2 linked regions of the Oryzias latipes genome follow. The protein of the gene in region 2 interacts with the protein of the main gene of each other region in a biochemical or structural test. Links are inferred from orthologs where the notes say so. Each region holds a gene or a part of one and is shown on either strand. Other genes may lie near its edges.

Region 1 (6,178 bases), on a different chromosome or scaffold from region 2:
GAGGCAGCGAGCGGAGCGGCAGAACGGAGACGCCCTCGGAGGTGGCAGTGATTGAAGCCGCGCTCTCTCCCCTGAAGCGGGATGCTTTTATGGAGCAGTTACAGCCTTGAACGGGCAGAAGATTGGGTTTCCCGGTTGCTCTGAAATCGGCTCGGCGGCCATTGTTCTGTGCGGAACGGGCGGGGAGATAATGGCAGCCATGTCCGCTCACACCCGTCCATTCGCATCCACATCACAAAAGGGGGCTTGTGTGACTCTGCAGGGTTTTGTTCTTTCAACGGGAGCAGGGAGGGAGGTCTAGGAGGACACGTCCCCATCAGGAACGATGGGATGTTTTCCAAAACAATGGAGCACGTCCATCGATAAGGAAGAGTCTCCTCACAAAAAGAACTACACCCCCACCCCAACAATAAAGTATTGCATGGGTGTTGTGTTAGGAAGTGGCTACAATCATAACCCGGTTGGAGGTGAAGCCCGGAAGACGAAACATCTCCTGTTGCTATGGCAACAAATGATTCCTCTTTTTGATCGGTAATACGTTTAACCAGAATGGCGAAATTTCTGATGAGTGTGCAAATTGTTGAATTCTGAAAGGTGAAAGAGAAAATGCTTGGCAAAAGACTAAAATATTTTCCTTTAACCTTTGTGCTATCCTAAGCACTTTAACATTGGGAGTTGGGTCATCTAGACCCACTAGACAGTGCGCTGAACTTTTTTTCTTCAATGATTTGTGATCTTCACTGGTGTCCATGGATTACAAAAAATCTTTCCACCTTTATCATGTAGGGAGAACACGTCGATGTGGGGTCATTGTGACCCCACAAGATAGCACAAGGGTTAAAAATGTATTGTTTGTAAGCAGAACTCTGTTAGGGTGTATGTCAGAGAAAGAAAGGCGTGTGTCCTTTAGGTCAGGCGTGTCCAAAGTCCGGCCTGAGGGACAAATGCAGCCCAGGTTTCAATTTCAAAGACTGAAAAATTGACGAAAGGAAAGAAAAAGAAAAAAAAAAACCTCCCCACCTCGTCAGATTAGACCCTGAAATAACAGCTTGTTCACCAACCGGCTCCCTTATGGGCTCCATCAGACAAATCTGGCAGAGCAGAAGCCCGGCATTACCGCCTGGCTGGCTTTCAAACGGCCCTGCTGAGCACCTAATGACAGGATGTGGAGCAGCGACCGACAACAGCTCCAACTCCTGGGAGCACAGAACCCTGGGAGGCTACCAAGGACGAGGTGGTTGAGACTTTATCCAAGGGTAGGGCCACACAGAACCACACGTGTGAGACGAAAGGAACCAGGCAGGAGTGGTACACCATTCAAATTAAAAAAACAATGACCTCCACCTTACCCCCCCCCCCCACCCCCACCCCCTCCTCCCTGCAAGAGCTGCTTTTCGTTTCTTTCTCTTGATGGTGGATTAACATGCATGAGAGGAATTTTGGAGGTTTCTGAGGGAACAAGTTCTCCAAATGTGATTACTTTTAGAAAGTATTTAGAAAAAGAAGAAGGTTAAATCCTTTTCCAACTCTATAAAACAAAGAAAAAGTCTTTTGGCGCCCCTAAAACTAAGGAAGTCCCAATCCAACTACAATCGGAGATCAGGCCAGATCATGTAGTTTCATATTTCTAACTTATTATTTCACATAAATGCCTTGGTAGAAGTCTTCATATCATGAACGGATCACTTTATTGCATTAAAACGCAGCAGAATACGACACTTGTTTGAGCAGGAGGTGCACAGAAAAACAGTTCAGCGAAGTCGGCAAGAAATTCACAGAATTTGACTACCAGGCTCAAAATCTTTCAAGAAACATTTAAAGTTGACAGTGAGTGTCTCTACTGGTTTGTCTTCAAAGTCCCACTCTGATCATCCTTTGATCTATTGTAAAAGCGTTCCCAGCGTGTGGTTTTCTAGGACATAGTTTCTGCAGAGCGGCAGGAGCTCATAAGAAATCCGACTCCAAGTTGTGGGCGGGGCTATTGGCACAGCGTAAGCCCGCCCCACTTCTCGTCACACATCTGAATCTGGATCTCAACTGTACGGCCGGAGGGCTCCGATATTGCTCGCCGTTTTTGTTGCGCCTGTAATGTTAGCTCGGTGGCGTGAAGGGCAGTAAGCTAGCGGGAGAGAGAGAGTAAACCGTTGGATGATGGGAAAAGGGGGTGGGCTTACTCCAAACATACAGTCTCACAAACCCACAACTCTGAGGTAAGTTTCTAATTAAAGACTGCCCCTCTGCAGAAACTATGTCCTAGAAAGTGAAATGACAAGTTGTTGTTTTTTTTACTTTTGGCTAAAAAGGCCACAATGAAGCATAACTTATAACTTAAGGTCAATTAAATGTAAAGTAGGGCACAACCTGGACCCGTTTATTTAATTTGTTCATTATTGAATGTGTTAAGTTTTGGATCGGGACTTGGTATCAAACTGGAATCGGATCAGGTCCACTTTAGTGATCGGGTATAGTGATCTGAAAAATGTCAGACTACATTTATCTGCCCTCATCCCGTGGATGGAGCCCCGGGCGGACGGACGGACTCACCTCATTGGACGGTATGCTGACAACACCTGTTGATCTCCTCTTTTCCCTCAGCTTCCTCTTCTCGATCTGCCCCTTGCCCTTCCTGGCGCTGGGGCCGGAGCTCTTCTTCTCCTTGCCCTTGCCGGGTGATGGACTCTCCTTGTCGGCGTCGTTGCACGCCATGGGGCTGGAGTCCGGGGACGCGCAGGGAGCCTTGTCCGCCTGAGGCGTGGCCTTCCTCGGGCTGCTCTCCGGCGAGACGGGGTGGTGCGCCGCTTCCTCCTCCGCTCTCCTCAAAGCGCCGCCGGAGGAGGACCGAACCACCGCGCAAGGGGAGGGGTGGCAGTTCCCGGCGGAGGCGCCCCGCTCCGGGCTGTCGCCGGCGGGAGAAGCGTGGCGGCTGTTGTTGGCGCCGGTGGCCGCGGCGATGTCCCCCAACATTTTGGCCCGCATTTTCTCCCGCTTTGCCTTCCACTCCTCCAGAAAGTCGGTGGTGGCGTTTGGCTTAAACCCGCCCGTGGCCATCACCCCCGGGCTTTTTCTCTCCTCACAAGTTGGTGAAAGTTGAGTCAAAGTTGACTAAAGTGTTCCGCTTTCGGCCCCCGTCCTAATGGCGCCGCATTCCTTAAGTGATTAACCCAGGAGCTGCTGACAGGTACAAGAAAATAAAGTCAACACCTCTTTTTTGTTTTTTTAATTGCTCGTTTTTCCAAACCGAGACGCCCTATTTGATTCCGCGCAGGAGTTTTTTGTTTTTTTAAACAGACACACACACCTGACTTTCCTCGCAAAGTTACTCTGGCCTCTTCTTCTTCTTCTTCTTTTATTTAAATTTGCCCAAACTACCGGACTTTACAGTGGAGGACGGAGCAGCGAGGCTGTGACGGAGACTCACCTGAGAGGCGCCGCTTCTGCCGTCGAACTGCCCTCCTCTGTCAGACCAGGTGTGAACGTGTTCCGCTCAGATGAGTGGCGCTGCTCCGGAGCGCTGCGTGCGGCTCTCTGCTCGCTCTGCCCTCGCGGAGGTGATGGCGAAAACACACGAGCACTTCCGGATAAAGCCGAAGCTCTAAAGTTTCTTTTGTTTTTTGTTTTTTGGTTTTTTTTAGGACTTAGTTATAAATGTTTTGTGTATATTATTTGTCGTTATTTATTTTATGCTTTTCATGTTTAATTTTAATAAACAATGAACAAAAGATAAAATAAAACACTTAATATTCTATGTCTTTGATAAAACACCACTGACATTAAAGTTTAAAATACATTTCATAATTTCATATTTCATGATATTTCATAATTTGAAATATCATTTCAATTCATTTCAGTATTTTTTTGTTTGTTTTCTATCATTTGCTGATGATACAACTGTATTTTGTGTTACAAAATAATGACTATAGAATTTATATGGTTCAAATATATTTTTTTAAATATGAAAGTACTAATAAAAGTACAAATTTGCAGCAGTTTGCAATGTTTTACTGCAATTTGTAGCAACAAAAAAAAGAATTACGGCTGAAAAGATAAAAACAAAACAAAAACTTAAAATAAAACCTAAAAGTCCACGATAAAATACTACTAAAGTATAATAAAGTTCCTCTAATAATAAAAATAATAATATAATTGCCTTCCGAAATGTATGTAAATGACACATATCAATAAAACCTACTTTAAGTTTAAATAAAATAATTGATCTCTGCCATTTATCCTCAGATTTGATGATTTGGAGATTCATTTATTTATTTACAATTACAAGTTTTTTGCTCATTTTGAGCTGAACTCTGAGAAAAACATTTCCATTTTAAGAAATTGTCTAAAAACTCGTGTTTGTGCAGGAAAAAGGTGGTCTTTTCTACAAGGTTTGCCAAAGACGGCCCTTTTTGTTCCATCACAGTGCCGGTAACGTTTCTGATGTTTTGGCGGTACATTTGGAGGAATCCTTTCTGTCCATCAACATCAGTAGGTACACTGCACGCCTTCGCAGCTCTGACGTACATCACCACAGCTCCTTCAGCAGCACCACGTCGACAGTAGTGCAGTCGGAGAGGAGCGTCTGGGCAGACCAGAGCTTGTCTGCGACTGAACTCTCCCACACAGACTCCCCCCAGGCGCTGCAGGAGTCACCCAGCCAGCTCCGATCAGAGGAGCGCCTCCACTGTTTTCCCAACAGAAGCAATGCCTGAGGAGGGAATGGGTGTGGACTGGAGGTTTGCATCAAACTAAAACGTTTCTTACGCTGTTTTGGAAAAGGTGCATCGTGTGAAAGTTCAAAAAGGTGCAGTTTTATTTAAAAACATTTCCCAGGAAAAAAAAAACAGATTTAGCATGATATGGATCAGCTGATCTTCAGTCTGACGTTGATCTGTGGGTTCTAGTCTGGACTGAAGGTCCGACAGTTCAGTCCTGCAGCTCCAGTTTCCAGATGGAAAGCAGCCAGACTCCTTAAAAAAAAAAAAATCTGCACCATCAGCTGAAATCTCTCCTGCTTAGCTCCTTCACAAACCACATGGCTCCTCTTCTCTTCAGCAGGAGGAAATGCTCTCCGTGACTTTTAACGCTAACAGATATGTTGATGGATTTCACTGAGGGGCAGTTTTTCCTGCTGTGTTGCAGTGACTCTGACCCTCACAGCTGCTGGATCTTGTGGTGCAGAAAAGCTGTCATCAAATAAGCTTCTGAAAAACTACAACTTTCTCTTTGTTCAGTTGATTATAACTCTTTTCCATTTGTCTTTTTTAAAGACCTGCTTTAATAAAAATAGTGTTGTTTTTTTAACATGTTCTTGTGGTATTTTTCATGCACAGAAAAAACGGAATCTTTTCAATGGTTTATCTAAGGTACTAGAATTTATTTTTTTAAATAAGAGTTCTTGGTAAGATGTTTGTTTTTTACACCATTAGAAGATTTGTTGCTTTATTTAAGGAGCATTTTAAAATTTTAAGAATTATTGACTTATTTCAGGGTTTTTTTCTGTGAAAATGAGTATTGGAACGAGAATCGATCGGTAAATTGAAAGCTTTGCTTCCTGGCTCAGCTCTCTCTCTCATCATCACAATAGAATGGTAAAGCGACCGCATAACAGTGGACGCTGCACCAATCCGCCTGTCGATTGCACGCTCTGTTCCTCCCTCACTCGTGAACAAGACCCTGAGATACTTCAACTACTCAACCTGGGGCAGGACAACTCCACCCACCCGGAGGGGACAAACTTAAACTTGGCCATCCCGGCCACGCCCACAATTGCCTCATTGGCGGTCTTGGCTCAATGAAGCCAACAAGACAACATCATCTGCAAAGAGAGGACATCCTGTGGTCCCCAAATCAGACCCCCTCCAGTCCCTGACTGCACATAGAAATTCAGTTCCTATGGATTCTGAACAGAACCGGAGTCCAGTGAGCACCAAGAAAGCTTTTATGTTTTTTGTGTGCAAAATGCTGCATTTCTTCTGATGTCTTTTAAATGCCTGCAGCCAATTGTTTGCAAATATTTTCAGAAGATTTGAGGTTAAAGCATGGGTTCTTTCTCTGGGGGGGGGGGGAGAAGTGTTCATTTTGAGTCAAACGGTTTCATTTTGTTGATTTTAGAGTCAGCATTTGAAATCCCTCGTGGGATCTCTCCCATAATGAGCCCGTCTTAAGCAGAGCTATAATTAATACA
Region 2 (6,352 bases):
GACTGAGTTGTCTTATGAGGTTGAAAATGTTTCAGGCACTAAAATGTTCGTACATTCACGAATCTAGTAAAGCTCGTCTCATTAAATAATTTCCTGGTCCTTTATGTTCACGTGAAAATGACTCATTTAGGAAAATCATTCTAAAAAGTCATAAATGTAAAATGTTAAGAACTTACTGCAGTGAGTTTGGGATAAAAGTCTAGAATGGAATGAACATCCTCATAACGTACAGCTTTAGGATAAAAATGCAGCTCGACGCATAAAAGCAGTAAAACTATAAGCAGTTCCTACAACTGCAGATGGAGTCTTTGGACCAGAACCGGTCTAGGCCAAGCTGACTGGGCTCAGGGCGGCCTTCTCCTCAGAAAAGGACTTCACCAGCTCCTCCACCCAGCGCACCTCTGAGGCCACCTGCTCCGCCAGGACCTCGTACCGGTTCTCCAGGCGGCCGAACCTGCGCTTCAGGATGCTGGCGGCCTGCGTGGTGAGCCGCGTCTCCTCCTGGCACTTCTTCCGCTGGGCCTGGGTGCGCTGCAGGTCTTGGCGGATGTGGCTCAGGTCTAAGGAGATGCTCTGGTTCTCCTCCTTGTACCAGCCCTCCTTCTCCTCGTAGATGGACAGCAGCGCCGCCACGTCCTCCTGGCAGGAGCGCTGGTTGTGCTCCAGCTCCTTCAGGCCCTCCTCTGCAGCCGCGATCTCCTCCAGCACCTGGGAGAAGCGCTCGAAGTTGACGTAGGTGTTGTTGGGGGGCATGCTGGAGTGGGACTTGATGGTGTACTCCTTCAGACGGGTGGTCTTCAGGCGCCGGCGCTTGGTCTTCTGGTCTCCCTCCTCTGGCCGGACGTTTCGTCTCTTAATGACCTGAGAGGGAAAGAAGGTATGAAGCAAAGATCTGATTGGAGGGGAAACGTCCTGCTGATTTGATTTCTGCCCCCTGCGTGACGCTGATGTCTGAGGGAGACGTTCATCCACAGAAATGTTTCTAACCTTTATATCAGAAGCTCGGACACTCACCTTAATCCAGGGATGCTCTAGACTGTCGTCAATCGTCATCCTCTTCCTGCAGGAGGTCAGAGCAGTGAGAAACGCACACTTTCACATGATGCCACCTTTTTTCTCTTAATAAAGGTTCCCTCAAAGAAGACAAATGGAAATCTTTGAAATGAAGCAGCATAGAAACATTAAAGCATAACCCGTGTCTGATAAAGGAACCAGGTTAGTCACTACAGACACTAGAAACGTGGTTACTTTGGATCCTTGACCAGGAGGCGGCGAATGAAGTCCTTGGCGAGCTCGCTGGTGTTGCTGAAATACTCCTCGTCAAAGTCGTAGTTGACGGCAGAGATGTTGGTCAAAGTCTCCTGCTTGGTCTCGCCCAGAAACGGAGACGCTCCGCTCAACCTAACGCACAAAACCACGTCAGACCCGACCCAGGACGACCCCACCCCACCCCACCCAACGCTGAGACGGGACGGCTGACTCACAGGATGTACGTGATCACGCCGATGCTCCTGCAAAGACAACAGACATGAGTGTGGGCTGGACAGGTGTGCAGCTTCAGGTGAGATGCTGAGGGGGGAGGGGGGGGAGGCTCACCACATGTCCGCCTCCAGGCCGAGCGGCTCGTAGTTGACGATTTCAGGAGCTGCAGACCAGAACGCCGTCATTAGCATCAGATCTGAGGATCGACTCCAGCAGAACCGCCGGAGAAACTCACCCACAAACTCTGGAGTCCCGAAGATGTTCTTGAACTCGTTTCCTGCTTTAATCTGGTGAGCGATCCCAAAGTCGATCAGCTTGATCCTGGGGTTGGGAACGTTCTTGTCCAGCAGCATGATGTTCTCCGGCTGAAAGATAAGATGCAGAACATTTCTGGACTGAAGCCTCACCCAACGACCTTCAAGGTCACAAAACGTCTTTTTATGTGTTTGTGGTGTTCTTAAGGCGGAATGACTCGCTGCCTCCTTAAGGGGGTCAGATTGAGGGTTTTTTTTTTTCTGGTGGCGACTCCGACTTGTAAATCCCTCATGAGAAGCAGCAACAACGTCCTTTTCCCGCCATGCTGCTGACCTTGAGGTCGAAGTGAGCGATGCGTTTGGAGTGCAGGTACTGGACGCCGTCCAGGATCTGCTTCAGGAACTGCGTGGCCTCCTCCTCGGTCAAAGACTCCTTCTCTGCGAGGAAGTCGAAGAGCTCTCCTCCGGACACCAGCTCCAGGATCAGGATCACGTCGGTCTTGTTCTCGAAGATGTCGTGCAGGGTGATGATGTTGCTGTGCTGGATCTCCCGCAGGATGTTGACCTCGCGCTCGATCTCCTCGCGGCTCACCCCCCGCCGGCTGGAGGACAGACGCCGCTTCTTGATGAACTTGGCCGCGTACTCGCCGCCCGTGCTCTTCTCCCTGCACTTACGGACGATGGCGAACTGGCCGCTGTGGAGAAGCAGAGGCGTCAAAACCTCCAACCGCACGTTTGACAAACGCCAAACTTGAACAAAGAGAACATCTGACAGAAATCGGCTTCTTGGTAATAAAATGACAAATTCAAGCCTTTAGGGGAGTTTATTAAAGGTAATGAACAAAAACAGATGATCTGATGCATCAAGAGGAAAATGTGACCAAAAAAGGACAAAAACCAAAAGCAGCAGCTTGCAGAGCGACTGCTCCCCTAATGAATGCTGGAGTCAGCAGTTTTTTGAGCAGAGACGGACTTTTGGACGCAGCAGAGGTAGAAGGGGGCCGTGAGGCGCCACGTCACATTTCTGCTGCATTACTGCACAACATTCACTTCGCTCATTCCCAAGCTGAGCAGCACAGAGGAGCATAAAAACGTTTTACTTTCGCAGATGGATGGTGCTCCAAAAACTGACTCCGGAGACTGCATTTCCCAGAAGGCATTGGCATGACAGGTGACGTTTCACAGACGCTCTTACCTGCCCAGCTCCTCTCCCATCTCATAATGCAGCTCCACGTCCTCCTGCCTGAAGCCAGCCATGCTGCTGACTTCACTGATGATCGTTACTGCCATGGAAACGGGAGAGTCATGTCAGACACCGACAGACAGCCAAAGTGTGTCCATCCGCGAAGGAAACTAACACCCTAACGCCGCCGGTCACCTCCGTTTGGGTCTGAACGCCATATTTGGGCATCGTGAGTTTCTAGACTTTGGGGCTGGTGTCAGCCCTCCACATACCGGCCCTCCTTACATCATCTCCTCCAGCTGCGAGCGGCTCCGTTAAAGGGACATCCACACACAACCGACGAGCGGGTTTCCGGTTAAAAAGAAGCGGCAACACCGGGGATCACCGTTTTTCTACCGGTGATCGGTAGAAAGCCCCACCTCTGTTACAATTTAAGTAAATATGAACACAATTACATTACTGAACTTTTTCACGAATGATCGCAAACAGATGCTTGAATACTGCTAGCCTCCCAGAGCTAGCATAAAAACCCGGTTTAACGGTTTAAAAACTACTGTTCAAGCCAACAGAAGCGCGTTATTGATTCCCAGGCATGTGTTTCCGGTGAGAACGCGAGTATTCAGAAGTATTTCTACTGGAATATAATAAGATACTCACGGGAATACTGCCGAGGAGCGCTGCTTTCATTAAACTGAATCTTCAGCTCGACGAACAGACGGAAAGCTAACAGGAAGCTTCCGGTCTGGCACTTCAAAATAAAGGTCTGTCAAACGACTGACATAAAACATCAATGTTCATGTTATGCTTTTAAATTTGTTTTATTTCTTAAACAGCTTCAATTAAAGTCATTTAAAATAAAATTATACCCCATGTATGTTTAAAAAATAAGCATTGCATTACAAATTGTTTTACTCTTATTTTTTGTTCTGTATTTAGAGCCATTGGCCCTTATTAAGCTTTTAAGTCATGTTTTTGTCATGTGCTATTGTTCATTAGATAAAGAATAAAACACATTTTAAAAAATTAATAAATGGAATTAAAAAAAATTCACTTTACAGGTTTGTCTTTTTCCTTTTTTGCTTTTCCCCAGACCCAGTTCTGATGTTTCCAGTCCATTGTGACGGTAAGGGGAAAGACTCATGCATAGTAAAGGGAAAAGCATTTTCATTACCATACATGGAGGTAATCAGAGCCTCCAGTCAGCAGAAACAACAGAACATATGAATCAATAAAGACATGTATAAATATATCCATGTGTGAATGGACAAATGAATGAATACATTAATAAATTCATGAAAAAAATGAATAAACAAACCTAGATCTGCCATCTAACCTTCATGGAGACAAGCCTCTCTGATTTGGTCACTCATCTGTTTCCAACGACACTATTTTGATTTTTTTTTTTTTTTTTTTTTTTTTCCCGAAGAAAAAAATATTCTCCGTCCACTTAGTCATTACTTTTCATTTCTTTACTAAATTACTAATTTACTAAAGAGCTTTATTTTGAAGTCCCGCTGGTTTGCTTTCCGGTGCGGGTGATGATCTTAACACAGGCAAAAACCTGGCAGAAGGGAGAACATATGGAATGACGTCATCGAGGCTCTGCAGCAGTACGTCAGTACACAAGACTGTACCTGCGGGGTCTGCAGTATGCGTCTAAACTTCAAGGGAATCCACAAAGGGAGACCAACGGCAGCGCATCCCGTTACTAAACATTAAAAACATAGAAGTACAACATCAGAAGCGGGATCGCTCTGGTGAGGCTGAAGAAGGCAACTCTCCACCAAACAACACTATTCTCATACTGAGGAAACGTCTCATGACTCACGTTACTGTCTGCGGATTTGTGCTGGTGACCTCACCTGAGCCTTGCTGCCGCGGGATAAAAATTTAACAGTATTATGAATGACTCATAAAATATCAAGTATCAGCTTACTTCAAATTGTAACCGTTAACCATTTTAACATTGGTTGGTTGCTACACTGTGGAGAGATAAATACTACCGATTATTAATTCGGATTTAAAAAATGTGTTCCACCACATATATAGGATACTGTGTTATGAAAGTGCCATTAAGGTCCTGAATAATAATATTTACAAAACGGTAGTTCCCTGACCGGGAATCGAACCCGGGCCGCGGCGGTGAGAGCGCCGAATCCTAACCACTAGACCACCAGGGAGCACTGCGCGGCGTATAGTAAAGAGAGGTATTATCACATTGTTAGTGGAATCGATAGGGCACGAGTATTGACAATGTCAGATTTTTCTCATTTCTTTGATTGTAACTACATAAAATTGAACTGCAGAGTGACGTGTAGAATGATTTTATTATGTACGTGGGTTTACGGTCACTGGTTTAGACCGACCTCTGTTATAACCAATCAAAATCGGGTTTACTTGCAAAGGCCAGCAACAGCCAATGACAAGTCCTGACTTAATTTACAGGCGGGGTTTACGGTGAAGCCGGTAGGTTGGTTGATGGGGAAAACAACAACAAGCTAGACAACATGAGGCTCCCCGAAACACTGATTTGGGCCGCTTTCCTCGTCCAGAAGGTGAGATCAATTACAATCACGTGACCAAAAGTTTGTTTATTTATTTCGTCACCAAAAAAAAGACAGGTCGGCAACAACGCAGGTCTCCTTTTTCTGTGGCGTGTTAGCATGAATGCTATGTCCGTTAGCTTGCGGAGATCCCTGTGGGCCCTGACAACCCACGCAAGGCACGCATCACCTTCTGGTGTGACATTACGGAGAACCGCGTCTTTAACGGGAAAAATCATAGGACGCGAGCTAAAGATTCCAACTCGGCATGTGTCGTGAGGAGAACAAGCTTGGCGGCTACAGTTGGAGAAAACATCTCGACTTTAGCTCGGTGACTCAGCCATCAGGTATTTTTACTCCGAGGTCGTCGTCTCTTCCGCGTGACACCATCCCAACTTCCGGTTTGATGCTGAAGGAAAAGCTGCGTCCTCCTCATCCTCCTGAGACATTTTAACCACCAAGCAGCAGGGTGATCTGCTTCGAACCCTCTTTATTATTGTTGTTCATATTTCTTTACTAGAGTAAGAAGAAGACAGGTTAAATATTTAATCATCTAGGTCGCAGGGGAAAAAACTGACATTACTGTTTGACTGAAAATACACAAAAACAAAGATGTAAAGAAAATCAGAACAGGAAATCTAAACGACTCACTTAAGACAAAGAAAATATTAAGACGGGAGTAAAAATAAAAATTTGTATTAATAGTTAGTATTGCTTTACGCCGCTGCACTTCAGCAAAACAAAACAAAAGCATCACTGCTTATGGATCCTCTGGCTGTGAACTGTTAGTGATTGATCCACATGTTGATTCTGGATCTGCTGGTCCTGGATCTCTTCTACCCAAGATGTGGATGGATGGATGGATGGATGGATGGATGGATGGATGGATG

The links.
Region 1: of the proteins of dapk3 (region 2) and pawr, one has a biochemical effect on the other in vitro, tested with the Homo sapiens proteins (2 studies listed by BioGRID). The link is inferred for Oryzias latipes from reciprocal best matches to the Homo sapiens genes DAPK3 and PAWR.

Annotation. Positions count from the first base shown.
Region 1 is NC_019881.2:19,317,141-19,323,318, reverse strand, and holds the start of pawr (PRKC apoptosis WT1 regulator protein), read right to left. Parts: upstream 3,604-6,178; 5' UTR 3,419-3,603; intron 3,172-3,418; 5' UTR 3,049-3,171; coding exon 2,545-3,048; intron 1-2,544. UniProt on the Homo sapiens protein: Pro-apoptotic protein capable of selectively inducing apoptosis in cancer cells, sensitizing the cells to diverse apoptotic stimuli and causing regression of tumors in animal models.
Region 2 is NC_019875.2:30,203,936-30,210,287, forward strand, and holds the start of dapk3 (death-associated protein kinase 3), read right to left. Parts: upstream 3,684-6,352; 5' UTR 3,577-3,683; intron 3,544-3,576; exon of another isoform or gene 3,115-3,543; intron 3,020-3,114; 5' UTR 2,994-3,019; coding exon 2,932-2,993; intron 2,432-2,931; coding exon 2,071-2,431; intron 1,848-2,070; coding exon 1,718-1,847; intron 1,646-1,717; coding exon 1,597-1,645; intron 1,512-1,596; coding exon 1,485-1,511; intron 1,402-1,484; coding exon 1,249-1,401; intron 1,061-1,248; coding exon 1,015-1,060; intron 862-1,014; coding exon 325-861; 3' UTR 1-324. Other genes in the region: sppl2b (signal peptide peptidase-like 2B), read left to right, coding at 5,427-5,474. UniProt on the Homo sapiens protein: Serine/threonine kinase which is involved in the regulation of apoptosis, autophagy, transcription, translation and actin cytoskeleton reorganization. Involved in the regulation of smooth muscle contraction.